2 linked regions of the Arabidopsis thaliana genome follow. The protein of the gene in region 2 interacts with the protein of the main gene of each other region in a pairwise test. Each region holds a gene or a part of one and is shown on either strand. Other genes may lie near its edges.

Region 1 (3,755 bases), 2.9 Mb from region 2:
GGTTTGCGGATGGATTAATGCTAAAGCTACAGTTCCTGTATGGGCTAAGATGACTCCTAATATTACTGACATAACTGAGGTGTGACATCTAATTCTCTCAGCCTTTTTGCTTCCTGGTTTTTCAACCATTTTGTATAAAGCCTATCCTTGTAGAAAATGAAAAAAAAACTTTGATGCAAGTTTATTGAAAAGCTCCCTACTTAAAGCTGAGTTATTGTTACTCTGTTTTGCTCTGCTTTGACCATGTCCGTTTTGCTTTTTCTTTTGAATAGCCTGCTAGGGTGTCACTAAAATCCGGATGTGAAGGAATTGCAGCGATCAATACAATCATGAGTGTAATGGGAATTGATATGAAGACGTTGCGTCCTGAGCCATGCGTTGAAGGGTTAGCTAGATAGCACTTTTATAATGTCAAACGTTTTGGCAAATCTTGTAATGGCATTACAAGAATAGCTAACGTTGATAGTGTTTTGCAGTTACTCCACTCCAGGGGGATACTCTTATAAGGCCGTTCGCCCAATTGCACTGGCAAAAGTTATGAACATTGCCAAAATGATGAAATCTGAGTTTAGTGAGGATCGCTCGCTTTCGGGTATTGGAGGAGTTGAAACTGGCTATGATGCCGCTGAATTCATTCTCCTTGGATCAAATACTGTACAGGTAACTAAACTCAACACTATCCTCACTCTTTTGTTTTAGACTTTATGCCTTGAGAGAAACTTAGTTTTACTGCTTTTTGTTGGAAGGTATGCACCGGTGTGATGATGCACGGCTATGGTCATGTGAAAACCCTTTGCGCTGAGCTGAAAGATTTCATGAAACAACACAACTTCTCTACAATAGAAGAGTTCAGAGGGTATGAACAACTTTCCTTTTAGACTTTTATATCATTCTTTTCGCTTGCTTGGTTGCTTGCTGAGCAAGTTCTTCGTGTTGTTTGTTGGCTTAGGCATTCGCTGCAGTACTTTACAACACACACAGATTTAGTTAAGAGACAGAAAGAAGCAGTTGAGCAGAGAAAAGCTGAGAAGAGAGGCTTGAAATCTGATAAAGATTGGACCGGGGATGGGTTCGTGAAGGAGACTGAGAGTATGGTTTCTAACTAAGTTAGTAGCCTGATGAAGTTATGACCACCCAAATATTTCAATAAAGGTTCAGCAACTTCATTCACAACTCACATGCAAATTACGAAGGCTCTTTCTTTCAAATGTTTAAAATCAACTTCTTAAATCTCACTTGAAAAGAAATAACTAAATTTTATGTTTCTTAATTTTCTTCTCGTTGTGTATTATTCATCTTGTATCCATCCATAGCAACCATTTCTTTGTTACTTCAAGTTGGCTTAAATTTTGGCCAATAATAATACCATAGACCTTCTCCATGAAGCAAGATGTTGCGGTAGTAACCTTTTATTAAGGTGTGATTTGGCTAAAGAAACTTGGTCTTATATCATTAAAATTAGATATTGAACAAAATCAAGTATGAGCTGATAGAACCAAGATTAGTAGGAAGCTAATCAAACAACTCTGGATACATTTACTAGGAAAATATGGTCATGCTTATTTTTATACGCATCATTTGAATCCGAAGAGGGGAAAAAGGCAACAAAACGGGCTTAATGAGAAATTGACTATGGAAGAAATATCAAAAAGCCAAAAGTGGCCACGACTTTCTGCATCGCAATGATACCTATATTAGAAGCTACTTAAAAATTTTAACACAAAAAAGAAAAACATTTAGTTTCCTCCTACCTTACCTACCTACGTTTACGTGATCATCAACAATTCTATTTTTACTAATTTACTCATTAATATATCTTCTAAAGTATACATAAACAAACAAACTGTACGAAGAAATTGAAATATAAATATCAAGGAAATTGGTAGCAGTTGTTGAGTTATTTCAATGATGCTGTGAAGTGGAAACATTTATTACGTAACGCATATCCGTTTTGTATATAAACTCTTATTTTTCGGCTGTATATATAATCTTTTTAGAGATTTTCCGTGAGAAATAGATTAAATATTGTTGCCATAATAACCTGTAATCTCAGGAGAATCCTAACGGAAAAGAGAATATTAGACGATAGTATTATATGGAGTATTAATTACTTATTAACAATTCTAGGAGATAATATCAGCACACAACAATAAAAGAAATTACTAATTTACTGGAATCATGTATTCACCGTAATTATTTAAGGAGAGGAAAAAAAAAATACAAGCTCTTTCTCTATAAACACACACTCTCAGGAGAGAAGTTGTATTGATCGTCTTCTCTTTCCCTAAACACACTGATTATTTTCTCTCCGACGCCGCCATGTCTCTGCTCTCAGATCTCGTTAACCTCAACCTCACCGATGCCACCGGGAAAATCATCGCCGAATACATATGGTTCGATCTCGCTTCTCTCTGTTTCACTTTAACCACAAGTGTCATGTATCGTTCTTTCTTCATATTGCTGCGATCCAAAAGTTTATCTCTTTTGTTATATTGATCTTTTTGCGAGTTTGGGTATGAACATGATTCATTTCATGGAGTGTTTCGTTGTCCTGCTTTGAATTAATACGTGTGTTAAAAACATAAAGCTTGTCTCTTTTTTTTGTCTTCTTGTAGTTTTTTTGAGTTTTTTTGTATGATTGTTGAATAAACAGGATCGGTGGATCTGGAATGGATATCAGAAGCAAAGCCAGGGTATTTGATTTATAAATCTCCCTCATGTGTTTATTTTTCATCCTCTGTTTTCTGATTTGTTTTTGAATGATACAGACACTACCAGGACCAGTGACTGATCCATCAAAGCTTCCCAAGTGGAACTACGACGGATCCAGCACCGGTCAGGCTGCTGGAGAAGACAGTGAAGTCATTCTATAGTACTATGCTCATCCCTCATCTCTATTTATCTATTTGTTGTCTCTATATGAAGTAATTCATATCTTAATCTTGGTCTTGCTTTGTTTGTTAATTAAATAAAAGCCCTCAGGCAATATTCAAGGATCCCTTCAGGAAAGGCAACAACATCCTGGTGGGTTTATTTGATATGATTAGTGTGACAGATTCAACTTGGATATAAATCAGATTATTGATTATTGTGAGATATGCAGGTGATGTGTGATGCTTACACACCAGCTGGTGATCCTATTCCAACCAACAAGAGGCACAACGCTGCTAAGATCTTCAGCCACCCCGACGTTGCCAAGGAGGAGCCTTGGTACACTCTTCTTCTTCTGTTGGTCTCTCTGTATATCTAAATCAGATTCTGATTGTCTCTTTGTGTGATTCAAAAGGTATGGGATTGAGCAAGAATACACTTTGATGCAAAAGGATGTGAACTGGCCAATTGGTTGGCCTGTTGGTGGCTACCCTGGCCCTCAGGTAAAAATCCAGTTACCATTTGATCCTAATGTTTTTAACAACACATTTTTGACATCTGATAAAATGTATTTCGTGGTTGAAACAGGGACCTTACTACTGTGGTGTGGGAGCTGACAAAGCCATTGGTCGTGACATTGTGGATGCTCACTACAAGGCCTGTCTTTACGCCGGTATTGGTATTTCTGGTATCAATGGAGAAGTCATGCCAGGCCAGTGGGAGTTCCAAGTCGGCCCTGTTGAGGGTATTAGTTCTGGTGATCAAGTCTGGGTTGCTCGATACCTTCTCGAGGTATTAATCTGCTTTTAGTCCGGTTCTATTACAGATACAAAGCTTCAAATTTGCTAATGATAATCTTCTCTTTTGACAGAGGATCACTGAGA
Region 2 (3,755 bases):
TTCACATTGTAAATATTTGTAAATAGAATGTTTACATATGGACATTTTAAGAAGAGTTGTTCCTTACCACTTTGATTCTATCATTTTCTTGTTTATCTAGTTAGCTTGAACCCTTTGTATTATTGAGTAACGAAAATCTTTGGAGGAAAAAAACAAGTGAGGTAGGATTATAATTTTCCTCATATAAGTGTGTTGTTTGTGATACATCATTATTCTTTCTTATTTTTGGTTAAACCCAAAAACTGGACCGCACCTAAGGAATTGAGATATTCAAAAAAACAATGATCTGACCCGTGCCAAATATCCACACCACACCTTTCTCCATTCAGGCCCTACTAGAAAGCCGTGAGACGGTTGACAACTTGAAAACAAAAGACTTATAATGAGACTATGAGAAACAAAAAAGAAAGTGGAGTTGATGAAATAATCTGATCTTATGAAAGTGAAGTTGATTACAAAAGGAGCAGCGTGGTAGTTGAATAGTTTCAGATGTTGATAAAGACGTGACATACATAGTTGTCTCAGTAATCTAATCAAGGACTCCTCATGTTTCTAACTTCTTCTTCTATAAAGTTGCATGAGATTTATATCTGGAGAACATATATTGCTCTAATTATGTGGTCTTATTATCATCAATATATGCCTTTTTCTACATATGAATATATGATCGACATGTATAGATATTTTTTGTTGTTCAAAAAAAAAAAATGTATAGATATTTTTTTCATTTTCCAAAAGGATTGAATTTCGAAATGGTGTAGCCACCTTAGAGGTATACAACAATAAATAATTTTCCCGACTTGTAACAAATGTTTGGAACAAAAGTGTCAATTAGAATCAAAGTAACCATCAGATGCCTTTTATAAATTTCTTTATCTATGATTATTTTTTAACCAAATTCAGACACTTCTATATTACTAAAAGCCAAACTTGATATCTATTTCAACAAAAAAATTTTTTTTTAGTCTGCTGTGACTCAGTATATCTAATTGTTTTCACATCATTCATAAACTTTTACTAGTCCATTGTAAAATACAGTATATTAGAAATTGTTTTCCTATCTATATATGCTTAGGTTTAAGAAAACAACTTTTGGCCATGAATATTTGAGTTTTTAAGTGGTTTTGGATTATAGATTTTGCCAAAAGGAAAAAATATTGATTTAAAATTACAAAAAGAAATCTGCAAACAATTATCAAAAACTCATTAAAGTGGGATTTATTTTTCATTTTGTTTACAAAAATGCGAACTCTAATCTTGATTGGATAATTAAATGGGTTTTTGGAAAACCAATAACTATGCTATAAAGTATAAACTACTACCATTCAAGCCTTCTATTTTTCTATGCCAAAAAATACTACGCAAAAAAAATTGAGCGTGTTTGATCCAACAATAAAACAAATTACTCAATCTTGTTTGATGTCAAAATCCAAATCCAAAATATGTTTCGGACACCTGACCGGTCTACTCGATTGACACCCCTGAAATTTCGAAATAGACAATACACAAAAGGACATAGACAACATAACTTCATCTCACTTAGATATTCACATTTCCCATTTTTCAAAATATTGGCTCTTCATTTTCTGTGTACTTCCAACAAATTGTCTTCTAGAGAAACCAAAACTATCTAAGATTTCTCCACCTTCTCCATCATCCACCGTTGATTCACTCATCTCATGTCTCCAATGACTCATCTACGGTCAAGATTCAAGGAGCATGAAACATCCCATGAACCAAATTACACAAAAACATTTACCTTGATAAAAAAACATCATTTTATTATTTTGGCAGAAGAAAAAGTCTTAATTCGAACTTTGAGCGTGCTTATAGTTTAATCAATTAAAGTTATAAAGAAAAGTAACTTTATAAATTCAGGAGTAATCAGTAGATTTATACCATTCTTGTCCATCGCTTTAAGCCACACTTGATCGGACGGTAAGCAATCAATCCGGTTTACACTTTCTGATTATAAAGATTCCAACTTTTGGTTATATCGGACGGTTAATAATCAATACGGTTTGAGTTTAAATCATAGCCGTTGAGATGTTTGACTAAAGTGTTTACAAAGTAGTCAACACTCTCTTTCTGCTACAAAGGACCAGTCTTGAAACTCAAAGTCCTTACCTTTCCCTTCTCTAACCTCTCTTTCTCTTTCTCTGTCTCTTTGTGAGAAATGGGCATGGAAGCTTTGAGATTTCTTCATGTTATCTTCTTCTTTGTGCTAATTCTTCACTGTCATTGTGGAACATCTCTCTCTGGTTCTTCTGATGTGAAGCTTCTTTTAGGAAAAATCAAGTCTTCACTACAAGGAAACAGTGAGAGCTTACTGTTGTCTTCTTGGAACTCCTCTGTTCCTGTTTGTCAATGGAGAGGTGTAAAATGGGTATTTTCAAATGGGTCTCCTCTTCAATGTAGTGACCTCTCTTCACCACAATGGACTAATACCTCTCTGTTCAACGACTCTTCTCTTCACCTTCTCTCTCTTCAGCTTCCTTCTGCTAATCTCACTGGTTCACTCCCTAGAGAGATTGGTGAGTTCTCTATGCTTCAAAGTGTGTTCCTCAACATCAATTCATTAAGTGGGTCAATCCCTCTTGAGCTTGGTTACACTTCTTCTCTCTCTGATGTTGATTTGAGTGGTAATGCCTTAGCTGGGGTTTTGCCTCCATCGATTTGGAACCTCTGTGATAAGCTTGTCTCTTTCAAGATTCATGGTAATAACTTGTCTGGGGTTTTGCCTGAGCCTGCTTTGCCAAATTCGACTTGTGGTAATCTCCAAGTTCTTGATTTGGGTGGTAATAAGTTCTCAGGTGAGTTTCCTGAGTTTATAACTAGGTTTAAAGGTGTGAAGTCACTTGATCTTTCAAGTAATGTCTTTGAAGGTCTTGTTCCTGAGGGTTTAGGTGTATTAGAGCTAGAAAGTCTCAATCTTTCTCATAATAACTTCAGTGGGATGTTGCCAGATTTTGGTGAGTCAAAGTTTGGAGCAGAATCTTTCGAAGGGAACAGTCCTAGCCTTTGTGGTTTGCCTTTGAAGCCTTGTCTAGGCTCCTCTAGGTTAAGTCCAGGTGCTGTTGCTGGTCTGGTGATTGGTTTAATGTCTGGAGCTGTTGTTGTGGCCTCGTTGTTAATAGGGTATTTGCAGAACAAGAAAAGAAAGAGTAGTATAGAGAGTGAAGATGATTTGGAAGAAGGTGATGAAGAAGATGAAATCGGTGAGAAAGAAGGCGGTGAAGGAAAGTTAGTTGTGTTTCAAGGTGGTGAGAATCTGACGTTGGATGATGTTTTGAATGCTACTGGGCAAGTTATGGAGAAGACTAGCTATGGTACTGTCTATAAAGCTAAGCTTAGTGATGGAGGGAATATTGCATTGAGGCTATTGAGAGAAGGTACTTGCAAGGATAGAAGTTCTTGTCTGCCTGTTATAAGGCAGTTAGGACGCATTCGGCATGAGAATTTGGTTCCCTTGAGAGCTTTCTATCAAGGGAAGAGAGGAGAAAAGCTTCTCATCTATGACTATCTTCCCAACATAAGCTTACATGATTTGTTGCATGGTATTTTCTTTCATCATCAATCTTTTTTGCCATGGATCTTTCTTGGTTGATTTTTGTTATTCATGTGTTGTTTGAATGATGTGCAGAAAGTAAACCTCGAAAGCCAGCTTTGAATTGGGCTAGGAGACACAAGATTGCACTTGGAATAGCGAGGGGACTTGCTTATCTTCATACTGGACAAGAAGTTCCTATCATCCA

Evidence for each region. Proteins that work in one complex are often made in the same cells at the same time.
Region 1: the proteins of TMKL1 (region 2) and GLN1.3 interact in a protein complementation assay, tested with the Arabidopsis thaliana proteins (one large-scale study listed by BioGRID).

What each region holds. Positions count from the first base shown.
Region 1 is NC_003074.8:6,095,184-6,098,938, forward strand, and holds the start of GLN1.3 (glutamine synthetase 1.3), read left to right. Parts: upstream 1-2,017; 5' UTR 2,018-2,319; coding exon 2,320-2,393; intron 2,394-2,653; coding exon 2,654-2,693; intron 2,694-2,768; coding exon 2,769-2,872; intron 2,873-2,975; coding exon 2,976-3,024; intron 3,025-3,103; coding exon 3,104-3,210; intron 3,211-3,286; coding exon 3,287-3,374; intron 3,375-3,459; coding exon 3,460-3,663; intron 3,664-3,742; coding exon 3,743-3,755. Other genes in the region: PYD1 (pyrimidine 1), read left to right, coding at 1-79, 273-385, 477-660, 747-856, 950-1,106.
Region 2 is NC_003074.8:9,001,465-9,005,219, forward strand, and holds the start of TMKL1 (transmembrane kinase-like 1), read left to right. Parts: upstream 1-2,104; 5' UTR 2,105-2,176; coding exon 2,177-3,557; intron 3,558-3,643; coding exon 3,644-3,755. UniProt on the Arabidopsis thaliana protein: Does not seem to have conserved a kinase activity.